Linked DNA regions of Caenorhabditis elegans. The protein of the gene in region 2 interacts with the protein of the main gene of each other region in a pairwise test. Each region holds a gene or a part of one and is shown on either strand. Other genes may lie near its edges.

Evidence for each region.
Region 1: the proteins of rabi-1 (region 2) and M01F1.8 interact in a two-hybrid assay, tested with the Caenorhabditis elegans proteins (one large-scale study listed by BioGRID).

The regions. Positions count from the first base shown.
Region 1 is NC_003281.10:3,498,873-3,505,576, forward strand, and holds M01F1.8 (VWFD domain-containing protein), read right to left. Parts: upstream 3,674-6,704; 5' UTR 3,665-3,673; coding exon 3,503-3,664; intron 3,458-3,502; coding exon 3,263-3,457; intron 3,196-3,262; coding exon 3,001-3,195; intron 2,210-3,000; coding exon 1,909-2,209; intron 739-1,908; coding exon 605-738; 3' UTR 501-604; downstream 1-500. Other genes in the region: M01F1.9 (Arrestin_N domain-containing protein), read right to left, coding at 34-184; rpl-13A (Large ribosomal subunit protein uL13), read right to left, coding at 4,017-4,213, 4,261-4,413, 4,466-4,724; lias-1 (Lipoyl synthase, mitochondrial), read right to left, coding at 4,907-5,235, 5,292-5,527, 5,572-5,873, 5,918-6,015, 6,065-6,164.
Region 2 is NC_003280.10:8,580,971-8,588,202, forward strand, and holds rabi-1 (GDP/GTP exchange factor Sec2 N-terminal domain-containing protein), read right to left. Parts: upstream 4,117-7,232; 5' UTR 4,081-4,116; coding exon 4,010-4,080; intron 3,626-4,009; coding exon 3,421-3,625; intron 3,242-3,420; coding exon 2,582-3,241; intron 2,303-2,581; coding exon 2,135-2,302; 3' UTR 2,064-2,134; downstream 1-2,063. Other genes in the region: F54C9.9 (Protein KRI1 homolog), read left to right, coding at 1-1, 54-215, 317-424; arl-1 (ADP-ribosylation factor-like protein 1), read left to right, coding at 1,040-1,150, 1,197-1,379, 1,439-1,687.

The sequences.
Region 1 (6,704 bases), on a different chromosome or scaffold from region 2:
TTTTAATTTTTTGCCAACTTTCCATAAAATTACCGCAAATAAGCTGAAGGCTTCCCCATGCCAGTTGCTCGACAACTCCTTGTTTTCCACGTGACAAATTGCTCACTGTCACAGTGATTCGAATGGTTTCGCCGGCCAAATATATTGCCACCTCACGATCCAATGTGGCTGAAACCTCCAGCATTCTGCAATTTTCAGATTTTTTTTCGGTTTTTATAATAAAACTTTTAAATAGATTTTTTTGCGCTATATTTCCAGCTCTTTACAATTTTTTTTTGAGAAAAAGTGCGATTTTTCCGCTATTTTAATCAACATTTTGGGTTTTGTTAAATCGAAAAATCGAAAAAAATTGAATTTCTGAGATAAATATTTTAAAAAAACCTATTTTCATATGAGAATCTGTAAAATAGACAAATATTGAAGCAGATACATAATCCAGAACTCAAATCTGATAATTTAGGAGAAAATAAGGAAATAATGGGAAAAAACACAAAAAAAAATAACAAAATTCAATTCATTTCGTACCCGAGGGGGATTTGAATACCGGTAAAATATACACGTGGGATGCGAAATAAAAAAAATAAATAATTTTAAAGATAAAATATTAAACATCGACTTCTCCTTCACGCATGACAGTCAATTCTTCGTGTATCTGATTGAGATATTTGATTTTCAGAGCTCCTTCGAAGCAAGGCTGCGAGAAAATGCAATTCGGATTGTTCTTACGGTAGGTGTTTGCTGAAAATTAAAGTATTTTATTGGAAACCGTTAATATTATGGGAACACGGTTCACTCTGAAATCGACGTTTAAAACGCGCTCCACTGCCAATTTCAAACGCTCCGCCTCTTACAGTTGGATCTCGTTAGGTATTTGGCGGCAAACCCGGGAGGCCCCACGAAAAGGGGAACTGAACGAAAAGGGGAAATTGGCACCGTGCCAACGCATAAAACGCACTTTTTCTCGAAGAAAACGGTACAACGATGCTCCGAAATTAAGCGTCGCGTGTTGTTAAGCGTATCTTCTAGAAGAAAAGTTCGAAAAAAGTCGTGCGTTGAATGAGAAAAAAAGCGTTTTATGCGTTGGCACGGTGCCAATTTTCCCTTTTCGCATTTCCCCTTTTCGTTCAGTTCCCGCTTTCGTGGGGCCTCAAACCCGGAAATTCGAGAGGCCCCACGGAAAGAGGATCTGCGAAAATGGGATCTACGAAAAGTGGAGTTAGCAAAAGGAGATCTGGCATTGTGCCAAACGCACAAAACGTATTTTTTCTCGAAGAGAACGATACAACGATGCTCCGATATTCCGCATCTCGCGTTGTTTAGCGAGTTTTCCAGAAGAAAAATTTCAAATATCAACGTGCGTTGCAGAAGAAAAATTGCATTTTTTTTTCAGATCTCCTTTTCGTTCACCTCATTTTTCGTGGGACCTCAAATTCAAGCGTTTTTAAGCATTTTTTTCGTCTTTTTTGCTTAATTTTCCGCGGGTTTTAATAAGTTTTATGCCGAAAATCGATAATTATTTGGACAAATAATATTTTTAAGCCATCATCTCGACTTCACGTGGAGTCAGAAAGTCCCATTACGCTTTGATCTTCCAAAAATGCGGGAGAAGATGCGCAGACATCTCATCCGATTTCGCATAATTAAGAGCGTGATGACGTCACAATTTTTCTGGAAAAATATTCCCGCATTTTTCGTAGATCAAACCGCAGTGAGACATTCTCACACCGCGTAGATTTAGAAATCATTGAAAACGGCTGAAAATGTAACAAAAAAGACAAAAAATGATTGAAAATCTTTGAATTTTCGCATTTTCCACCAAATACCCAACGAGACCCATCTGTTCGGGGCGGAGCGTTCATATTGAATTGGAAATTTTTCTGCGTCCCAATAATATTTCGAATTTCTAACCAAAGTTCCGGAATCTCGCCGCACAAGCCTCCTTTGAACTATCAAAATAGTCGAATCCATCGATTGGTGGTGGCTTCTGAGCTTGAAATGCACTTTTAACTGGTTGTGGAGTAACCGGTTTTCTCAAAGGTCTCTGTACAGTGACTGGAGTTGGAGTGGGGGCTATGTTCCAAGCGGAAGTAGACGGAACTTGGGGGTTTGGAGGAGCTAAAGGACGTTGTTGAAGGGGAGCTGGCGGACAAACTCCGGCTTTTGGAATTACTCGATAAGTTTGGCGGCCGTGAGCGTTGGGAACATCTATCTGAAAATAAATTAATTAGATATTTACCATAATACGGAATTTTTTCGACATATAACTACGTATTAGCTATAATTTGGCTCTTCTTCTGGCATTTTTTGAGGGTTTTCCAATTTTTTTTTCGATTGAACACCGCAGAAATTCTAGAAAATTACCTATTGCCTATCCATGTTTTTCCAACATTTTTCATTAAAAATTAGTGTGAAAAAATAGAAAATCCCTTGATTTTTCTGAAAATAACGTTGATTTTAGTTGAAAAATTTGAAAATGTACTATAAAATTACCTGGAAAGTGCAAATCAGTGATTTGCATCTTACAATTAATTTTGAAGCACATTTTCAAATGTTTCAACTGAAATCAACGTTTTTTTCAGATAAATCAAGTGAATTTCTATATTTTTACACTAGTTTTTAAAGAAAAATGTTGGGAAAATATGGTGCAATAGGAAATTTTTAGACTTTCCGAAAATAATGCTTCATAAAGTCGATTAAAGTTTGAAAATCCTCAAAAATTGCGAAAAAAGAGCCAAACTTTGAAAAAATCTGAAATTTCCGCAGCTTGAATATAGTTTTTTTTTGAATTATCACATATTTTGGCTGTTTATCAGTTATTTTAAGCAAATTGAATGCCCAGCGACTAAAAAAGCGCCTAAATCAGCGAAAAACTTCCCAAAAATGTTAAAAAAAAAGGGAAAATTCAATAAAACTGAATTCGAAAACGACTGCGAAAACGACAAGCTGACGAAATTTTAAATTTCAACAAAATTTTTGACGTTTTTCTCAAAATTTCAATACCGCAATATCATGATATTCATCAGTAGCCAACGCGGCTCTCCAACAGACTCCTCTCTCATTCGGCGCTTGCTCTCGTGCAACAAATTTGACACGTTGGCCCGGCTTAAACATTTCAGTCAACTTCTCAACGTCAGGACGAACAGTGGCTCGAGTCACGAATACATTGGTTGTCAAAGGCTTAGTATAGCCTGGAATCTGAATTTTGTAGTCTTAATAGTTAATTTCGTATTAAAATTGCTCGTTATTCCACGTTTCCACAAACCTTGGCAAGAGTTGGCGGATTTTTGGTATATTTCCAGTCAACGAACATATACTGAGCTTTATCATCGGGAATATTGATAACTGCACCCTCAGCAACCAACATTCGTCCTTGTTTGATAAATTTAAGCTCAGTGCCAACCCAAGCGAGTTCATAGTTTGCCATTTGTGATAGCTTATCGCCAACTTCAATATCTACCTGAAACATCGGGTTTTATTAAAGTTTTCCTGGAAATAAGCTTACAGTTGTAGCTTTTCTAGCATTGAATTGAACTATATCGTCATGTTTATATCCACGAGTGAGCAATTCCTTCTTAAAAAGAACACCTTTTCCATCATAGCGAACCATCATCATATCGTGTGAAACAGCGACGACGGAACCTTGCTTATGAAGGATTGTAGCCATTTTGTAGCTCTGATATTAATAAAAGATGATATTCAAAGAAGAGGCTCCACGAGAAGAGGATCGGCATAAAGTGGATCTAGCAGTGTTTTAATAAAAATATCTCTTAATTTTTTAGTAAAAATAGTGTTTTTTCGATTTTCCGTAAAATCTAAAATTAAAAACCTTCAGTTTCTCTGCCCTTAAATGTACTGGCAATTTCCAAATAAATTTCGTGGGACCTCTCGAAAACATGCAGTGAGACAGAAATATGAAACAAAGACTCTCAACAAGTAACCTGAATATGTTTTGAAAAAACAGTAGTGATATGGTCAACAATTTTATAATACCAAACAAAACAGATTTGTGCATGGATTTAATTGTATCCAAGAGCCTCGATGATCTTCTGGTATTGAGCGATCTTTGGGGCGGCATTCTTCTTTGCTTGAACGGCGAGCTTGTCCATCTTCTTTTTCTGTTCGAAGTAGGCGGCTCCCTTCACCTTTCTCTTAGCCTCGAGCTTGGCAACAACATCCTGGAATTGCCATCCGACCTCGTGCGATAAGCGTCCAACTGAAAATTAAATAATCGTTGTGATCAAAAAAATTATAATAACTCACCGACGCAGAACTTTCTTCTTGGTTGAAGTCGGAATCTGCTGGCTGATGGGGCATGGAGAGACTTGGTCTTCTGGTATTTGGCTGGAACTCCTTCGTAGGCGCGGAGGTTCTTGAGAGCCTCGTTTCCGCGGTTGGTCTTGTGTGGGAGCATTCCTGAATAGAGAATTTATTAATTTAAGTACAGATAATGTTTAAAATCACTCACCTCTGACGGTACGCCAGAAGATCTTTCCTGGAGCACGGTAATGGAAGGCTCCACGGGCTGGGTTGATGTTACAACGCTTGCGGAGGAAGCTCATGTACTTCAGCTTGGAACGGTGGAAGTTTCCGGAGATGACGATCTCTTCAGCTCTGAGGACGACAACCTTGTCTCCTTGGAGAAGCTTCTTTGCAACGATGGAAGCCAACCGACCGAGAAGGTGGTTCTTTCCGTCAATGATGATTGCTCTGTTCGACAGACCCATCGTTTACCCTGAAATAAATACTGATAAGAAGGGGAAAGTTTAGAAATACACGAGAGTAAAGGAAGAGAGATAAATCGAAGCGAGAGAACGCGCATAACAATAAATATATGAAAACTATTTCGAGAATTTATTTGGCAAGAATCCCGCACAAATTCTTCTAATATTTACATATTTCAGTAATCTTAATTTTGTCTATTTCTCAACACATTTTTCAAATAGAATTCTCCGGCTTTGTACGAAGAGCGAACAAGAGGGCCAGATGCAACGTAAAGGAATCCCAGTTTTTTCGAATATTCTGCCCACTGGTCGAATTTCTCGGGGGTCACCCATTCTTTGACAAGCAAATGACGTTTTGTCGGCTGCATGTATTGACCGAAAGTGACAACGTCAACATTGCTAGCTCGAAGATCGGCCAAGCACTGCTTTATCTCGTCTTCAGCTTCGCCCAGTCCTAGCATAATCGATGTCTTCGTGATTAGCTTTGGGCTGACTTCCTTTGCGTATCGAAGAGCTTAAAAAATATTCAATAATATTTACGAGATTCTGAAAAAAAAAAAAGCTGCTTACCGTCCAAAGACTGCCGATATTTAGCTCGTGGATCTCTGACCCATGGAGTCAGTCTTTCAACCGTTTCAATGTTATGTGCATATACATCGAGTCCACTGGTAGCCATTTTCTCCACACTGATCTTATCTCCAGCGAAATCGGGCAATAAGCATTCGATGAGAAGTTCAGGCTTCTTGAGCTTCATCAGCTGTACTGTCTTGCGAAGATGATCGGCTCCACCGTCTGGCAAATCATCCCTGAAAATTACTTTGATTAAAAGCTCAAGATACGAATAAGTTACCTGTCAACTGATGTTAAAACAATGTATTCGACACCCCATGAAGCAACGGCGGTCGACGTATTTTCCGGTTCCATAGGATCCAATGGTGGAGGAGCTCGAGCAGTTTTGACCGAACAGAATTTACAACCCCGAGTGCAGGTATCTCCCATCAACATGATTGTCGCTGTTGCTAGACTGTCATCTGATCCTCCCCAGCATTCTCCAAGATTTGGGCACCGTGCTTCCTGACAAACAGTCGCTAGTTTGAGATGTTTCAACTGCTTTTTTAGACGACTGACATTTTCGTTTTCCGATGGAAGAATCTGAAAACAATTGTGATGAGGGGCAAAAAATTGATAGGCTATACCTTTTCTTTCTTGAGCCATGGTGGAAGTCGCAAACGTCTGTCCCCTTTCTCCAGCTTCAGTTTTCCTTCGTACTTCTCAACAGCCTCTGCCACGGATGCTAAAATTAATAATTATTTGATTATGAAACAATATTGTTTGAGTTTTACCTGATGAAATAAAATCCTGAAGCGATGGTCCATCTTTGACGAGAACTTGCGGTTTTTTCTTTGTGGCTGCAAGTCCACGGACCCATACCCGAGCTAGCATGCTTAAACAATCTACCGGTAATAATTAAACTCCTTGTGTTGAAAATCAAGAGGGACCCCCTACAACTGAAATTCTGGTTGAGAAATAGACAAATTTGGATTTTGGGAACATTTTTCCACTTTTCCTACCTAGTTTCTGACAAATCTCGCAGAATAAGAACTACAATCGATAATTAGCACTATTAATCGTTTAAAAATTAAAAATTCAATCAATTTTATGCAAAAAATCGCGCAAAAACGTGAAAAATCAGGCGAAAATCGTGAAAAAATTTTAGGATAGCGGAAAAAGCCATGCGTTGAGGTTCGATGGGTCTCGCCACGATACGCAATCAGACGTGACGGTGTATGCACAGAAAAATCCACCGTAGTCCGCAAGGCCATTCGCAACATTTTTTTTCACTTCAACAATCAAATTTAACTCATTTTTCCAGCAGAATCTTGGGAATTTTCATAAAAACCTTAATAGTGAGGTCCCTTTTGACTTTTTACGTGGTTTATTCGTGATTTTGATCATAACTAGAGTTCTAAAAAGGATAAAACG
Region 2 (7,232 bases):
GGTTTGTATTAAACTTTGAGTAACTAGTTCTAAAATATTCATCTGACTTTCAGACTGAAAATCCCGAAGAAAATATGACGGAAGCCATTGAAAATGAAGTCGAAGAAGTTGACAAGCAAGAGCAATTACCTGTGCCGCAACCTGAAGAACCCGAAGCTGCTCACGAAGCTCCAAAAGAAGAAAAGAAGAAGACAAGAAAGAGGAATAAGAATAAGGTGGGAAATTCAATAATTTGAAACTTTTGTAAAATTGAAAAAAAAACATGAAAAAAGTTTTAAAAAAATTAAAAAACTATTCAAAACTCGAAATTTTTCAGAACAACGTAATCGCTGAAAAGTTCGGACAAGGAATGACGGATTCTCGCGTGAAAGCTTATGGATTGAACCCAAGTCGTCTCAAGAAGGGACTCGTTTATGGACAATAATCATCCGGTTGTTTTTTTCCTAATTGTTTTGTTTTATTAGTTCATTCTAATTGTTATTTTTGTGTTTTGTTACTGTTATTTTTTTTATTATTATGAGGAAAATGAAGTGTTTTTTTTGCATTTTGATTAAGTTTTTTTTTTCCTTTAAAGGTTAATTTTACCTTTATATTATCTTTATTATTAAAATTTTTCGCAACTCACCTACTTCCTCATTCTCCCACACTTTCAAATCCTAACCTTCTTTCTTCATTTCACAGACTGACATATTTAGTGCTCGCTTCTCTCCAAAAACATAGTCAGTGAGCATTTTTGAGAGAGTTCTTCGACCCTTGCTAGGTCCATCCTTCCTGGCTCCTTTTGCACCAATCTCTTCCGTCTCTTTTGTCTTTGAAAAGTACGGAATGGTGCTTTCCAGTGTAAAATGAGAGGATTTTGGTGTTATTTTAATTTATTTCGCTAATATTTAAGACTATTTATAAGAAAAAATTAAGAATTTATTTTCTAGCCTTCTACGTTTTTTGCTCGTAAATCCACGTTTACTTGTATTCCTATTTTTCAAAACGTTTCAAAATATTTCCGATTTCAATTTAAATATCTGTGTTCAGATCAGAAGCAATGGGAGGAGTAATGTCATATTTTCGTGGCCTCTTTGGCGCCCGCGAAATGCGTATTCTCATCTTGGGACTTGATGGAGCCGGTAAAACGACAATTTTGTATAGGCTGCAGGTTTTTATTTCTGGCTGAAAACAAAACCATATAAGCTAAGTTTCAGGTCGGTGAAGTTGTGACCACGATTCCAACAATTGGTTTTAACGTGGAACAAGTCGAGTACAAAAATTTGAAATTCCAAGTCTGGGATCTTGGAGGACAAACATCGATACGGCCTTATTGGAGATGCTATTATGCGAATACTGATGCAATCATTTATGTTGTGGATTCTGCTGATAGAGATCGAGTAAGTTTGAAATTTTATTTTATTTTTTGTAGTAAGGATTTTAATATCAACTGTTTTAGGTTGGAATCTCTCGTCAAGAACTTGCAACAATGCTACAAGAGGATGAACTTCAAGGAGCTGTTTTAGCAGTTTTAGCCAATAAACAAGATATTGCTGGATGTTTGACTGAAACTGAAGTGTACAAAGCATTGGGATTGGATGCTCTTCGTAATCGTACCATTCAAATTTTCAAGACATCTGCTTCAAAAGGAGAAGGGCTCGACCCAGCGATGGATTGGCTGGCGAATCAATTGCAACAGAAAAAGTGATCAAATTCACGTGAATTCGAAGATTTATCATCCAAAATGAGCCCAGAACAAATTGTCTAAAATCTTAATTTTCTAGAATTGTAGATGATTTCTGGGCACTCGTAATACATTTTAATTCTCCATATTTTGTTTAGCTGCAAACACGAGGTGTGTCTTTCTCTCTATAATTCTGTGATTTTTCTTCCTTTTCTTCTATCCTGTTCTGTTCTTTCTTTCCTTCCTTTTTTGTCTTCAAAAATCTCGTTTTATTTAATTTCTATCCGCTTAATGATTGGTTGTTCTATTGCCTTATCCCAATGTTCTTGAGATGATCCGTTTTATAGTTGTTTTTTTGTAAAATGTAAAAACGAATAATTTATACCACCAAAAAATTTGTAATTGAATTATTTATTTGTATAAAAAGTGTGAAAGACCTGTAGTTTCAAATTATGGTAAAATACTATTAATTCAATGATGGCGTATGTTGGAACGCGGGACAAATCCTAGCCCCAGTTTGGCAAGTGACATGTTTTTCCGCAAGTTTACAACGTGAAAATATGAATCTCGAGGCCCGGGTTTGATCAAACCTTGGGACAAGTATCGGATACACGTGAAGAAGTCACAGACTGCGGCAATCTGTAAATCTTGAGTTAATTGAGAAATCAAGATTACGGTACCAGGTCTCGGCACGACTGAAAGTTTTGAAATTCAGGTTGCGAAAAAAAGTGTGCCTTTAACGAGTAAGGTAGTTTCTATTACGTTTTCTAAGTAAAGGGTTTCGAAAGAAAATAACGAATAGAATGGCAAAACTGTGAGAAGTGAAAACTACCGTACTCTTTAAAGGCGCGCACCTTTTTGGCAGTCTCAATTAAAATTATCAATCGTTCCGAGACCAAGAAAAGTGGAATAACTCACCCTATTCCTGGCAATTAACGAAACATAATGCCATTCTTGTTCCTCATCACCAGTTCTTACTCGATACGGACAAAACCTTGAAGCATTTGTTAATGCACAAATCCTTACAGATGGTTTCAGTTCATTTAATGGTTCAAGTTGAACACGATTCTCTCGAATTGCCTTCATTATTTCTTCTGATAACTCAGAGTTTTCGAATAGCATACATGGTTCAACTTCTTCAACGGTAACTCTATCAATAAATGGATGAGATGTCGTCGGATGTCCAGCTTCTCTCCAAAATTCAAATTCAGAAAAAAGAATTGGATCGATCTCTTCAACTGCATTTGCTTCTTTTTGTTCTCTATCTTCTGATGGTGTTAGTGTATATGTTGATGTAGATGGAAGTGATGAAGCTTTCTTTTTATCTGATACATTTGCAGCGTCTTTTTGTTTTTTTGATGATGAACTTGATCCATTGAATAGTTTTGATAAAGTTGATTTATGTTCTGGAGATGTTGTCTGCTTGAAATGGTTTTGACCCATTCCTGGAGCAGATATCAATTCTTTCAATGCACGTACTTCTGCTTGAAGAACTTCAACTTCAAGTCTTGATTCGGTTAGTAGTTTTTCTGCTTTCTCACGACGAGCTTCTGCTGTGTTTACCATTTTGTACGCCTCCTGTAAACTTGAAGATGTGATGGGAGTTTTGAGACTTTTTCATCGGTTTTCAATATCATTCTTATCTTTTTTACTTGGTCAACTTTCTAAAAATTTAAATTATCTTATGAAATTTTGAAAATCAAAATCGAGAATTTTTATAAGCTAATTTCTCAGGATCGGAGTTGTACTGGTCTTACCTGAAATAATTTTTCAGTAAGTTCTTGAACTTCTGCATCCACTGTCACTTGAATTTGTGTCATCTTTTTATCTTTTTCAGCAAGCGCCGTTCGTGTTGCTCTGAGCTCAGCCTGCATTCTCAAAAGCTCCTCAGCCCTAGGACTCATTAGCTCAGAGTCGGATGATGTCGAGGCAGATGATGATGTTGTGCTTCTGGCGGAGATTCTGAAAATTTAAGTTTGAAAGAGTTACTCGAATAATGTTTAGGGATGACAGCATTGTTGAGTTAGATTTGTATTGTTTTTGTAGGCAATTCAGTTGCCAGAGTCTAGAGATATCAAACATGGGTAAAAGTGAAAATGGTAGTGTTCCACAAAGAAAGGCAAGGCATTAACAATGAAAAGTTCGGCACTTCGTTCCGCAGATTCACGAAAATTACTCTTTAAGGAACCTATGAAACCGGAGAAGAAGAAGCACAGTTACATGTGGACTACTGTGGTCATAAAATACTATATAATGAATTATATTTCATTAAAAGAAATTACATAAAAGTGTATAATAAGAATCATTTACAAATTGTCAGTAAATTAATTAATATAAACATCTTACCTCACATTATCCTGGGGATCGACTGACAAATCGAGATGAATTGGGTTCAGAACAGAAATTGTATCAACCATTTTTGCATAATTTGTATTGCTTTGATAGTTTTAATTCTGAAATTAAAGTAAAGTATTAATGTATGTCAATGATAGAAAAGAGAAGATGTCTGTAGATGAAAAAGAAACGGAGATGTATGTTTTTTTCATTGATAACGTAATACAGATAGATTGAAGACAGGAAGAACGGGTTTTGGTGATGTAACGAAGGGGAATGAAAGTAAAAAAGGGAGGCGGGAAAGACTGGAAGAATAAGGTTCCTTTATAATCCCGAATGGATTATAAAGAAGACAAGATGTTGAGAAGAAGCATTGCGAAATGATTCTGAAATATCAGGGAATTCATGAAAAAAACTGGGAAAAAAGTCAGATGATTCAGAGAAAAAACACGACGAAGATGAGGATTGAACTTTGGGAAAGATAGAAAACAGGAAAAGAGAGAGAGAGAGAGAAGAGATGACACATGTGCTCACAGACAAAGATTCTTCTATGACCAGAGAGTAACAACAATAACACATAAACACAGAGATTGATTGGAGAGAAATTTTGAAGGGCAATTGAAGTTGCAAGATGTTCCTCAGAGCTTTAAAACGAATGGGGCATCGGATCATAATAATTTGATAATTTTAGATCTCGGCTAGAGACTCGAGCAGAATAATTTCATGCTATTCATTATTTGTTTTCGGAACCTTCATTTCTAAAACAGCTACAGTAAAGCTTATTCTAGTTAGGTATGTAACAAAAACATCTAGAGCATATCACATTTTGCAAGATGAATAAAAACCTGCAGCCTATACAAAATTGTCGTTTTATCGGCTCCGTTTTGAAAGCTCATGACATTGGTTTTTTGCTAGCAATCTGAACTCCATTTTAATTGACACCTGGATGCTTAACTTTTATATAGTAACCTTGAGAACCGTCAAAAAGTGGCGATTATTCAGTTTTCTGGAAGTCGAGGACAAAACCATAAACGATGATTTCCAATTTTCCAAAATCGAAAAACTAGATATAGAACATCAGTAAGCAATACACTGCCCTAAAAGTTCCAAGTTATCTCGATTAGAAAACATGAAAAGTGAACAAAAGGCTTGTCCTTCTACGCTTTTTTTACATGAAAAAAGTGCAAAACGTCCTTGGTTTTTCATCAAAAGGTTAGTTATACGACCACTAATTTCAAATAACCCTGTCCCAAAGAAGGAATGGAAAAAAAAGAAAAAGAAGTAAAATGAAGAGAAGAAAAAAGTTAGCTATTCATGAAGAAGCAGTTAGCGAATAGGAAAGAAAGGAGCCACCACACGGAAAAAAGAAGAAATTGAAATTTCGTGAGAAAAGTGTAATCAAAGAAGTAGAAGAAGTAGAAGAAGTTAGAAAAAAAACGAAACAAAAATAGAAGACTACAAATTTTTTGGAAAAAAAAACAAAAGAAGAATCGAAGTCACCTCGTAAAAAAATGTAGATCTCGTAAGAGCTGTCCGAAAGTACCACAAGATAATACTCCGAAGCTGAAAAAATGGTTACAGACAACGTTTTAAAATGTTTGACATTGTAGATATGTGAAAAGTACAAAATTGGCTTCAGTATAGACTTTTTGTTGACTTTGTGGAGCCAATGGAGCACGGGTTACATCGAATCATACTTGTCCAATCAAAAATTGGAACCTATTCCCATCAACTTTTCTTCCAAAAAGGAGACGAGTACAGCAAAACAGAACAACACGCAGTGTTTATTTTGCGGTTTCGGTTTTCTTCCATTTCTCCGTCTAGATCTCTCAACACTATGTGTGTCTGTATTGTATTGGTAGGTATTGCAAAGAGGAATCCGATCAAAAGGGAACGGCGGCCAGATTTTACGGGCAAAAAAGGTACTCAAAAGGGCTTATACAGTCACTCTTTAGAAAAAATAAATGGCGTCAGATATGGAATGTGGATAGTGTTGAAGTTAGAGCCATGTATCTAAATGAGAAACTAATCGAAGGTTTTCTACAAGGGAAAAAGTATAATTAAGAGTTAGAGAAGTTTTTCAAGAACAAGTTTCAACATTTCACACAGCGTTGGTTTTCGTACCAAAAGCTGACATGGTTAGTGATTTTCTGCGTTTTTTATGGTTTTGTACAACCTAAAACCGTCTTAAAGCTTAACACATGTTCTGTCGTATGCAAAGAATGGTGAATGAAAATAAATCGAAGAACATGTTTTAGGATGTGGTTGGGTTAGCAATAAGGTCATTCGAATTTACCGAAACTTGTGAATATACTTAACAAGGATCTTCGTTTTGACAGTACTATTTAGAAGTTTATAAACTTAATGTTTTTAAAACTTGATTTTAAAGAAAACTTTGAATAATTTTACAAAAAAGTAACCTATGCAACAGTAGAAAATATCCCAACAACATATAAAATTAGCCAAAATCAATCGAGATTTCTGTTTCTTTTGGTTCAATTAACTTTCCACAGCCTCACCACACTAAATTCAAATAATTAGTTAATTTATAGAATCAGGAAACTACCGAAAATGGCCTATATCAATCAAGAAAGAAACTAAAAAATGATTCAGTCCTCTCGGGCCTTCAAAATATTAGAACTTTATTTGGTTTCAAACTGCACAACACAGTGATCATTTTTTTAACATTCAGCCAGTAAGCTTAAGTCATTTTCTGGGAGAATTGTGCATTTTTCAACTATAACAAACTCAGTTGAAATGTTACAAGGGACTTTTGGATTTCAAGTGATGATATAATTTTGAAATACCAAGCAAACAGAAGCTTCGAGAGAAAATTAGGTAAATCGAATTCAGAAACAGATTCAATTGGTGGAATAGAAAACAGAAAGAAGAAGAAGAAAAAGGGAATTCGAAACGAAAAGTTTGCTTCAGAAACGGAGGAAGGAAACGACAGAAGAAGGGACGACAATCGCGTGTGTTTTGCCTAAAATGGGACGAGCAGGACCACAAGGAGAATGAAGCTTTGAAGCACTGTCTGCGTCTCCAATTTCCATAAACTGTCTCAATATTTCAAGAGAACAGATGGGTGTCGCGAAGAATCTAAACAATCGAGAATAGTTGAAGAAAATGAAAAGAAAAGGAAGGATGAAACATCATCATAAAGATGTGCGGAGATTATCTGAAATGCATTGGGATGGGGTGGGAAGAAATAAGAGAAAAAGAAGGAGATAAAGGT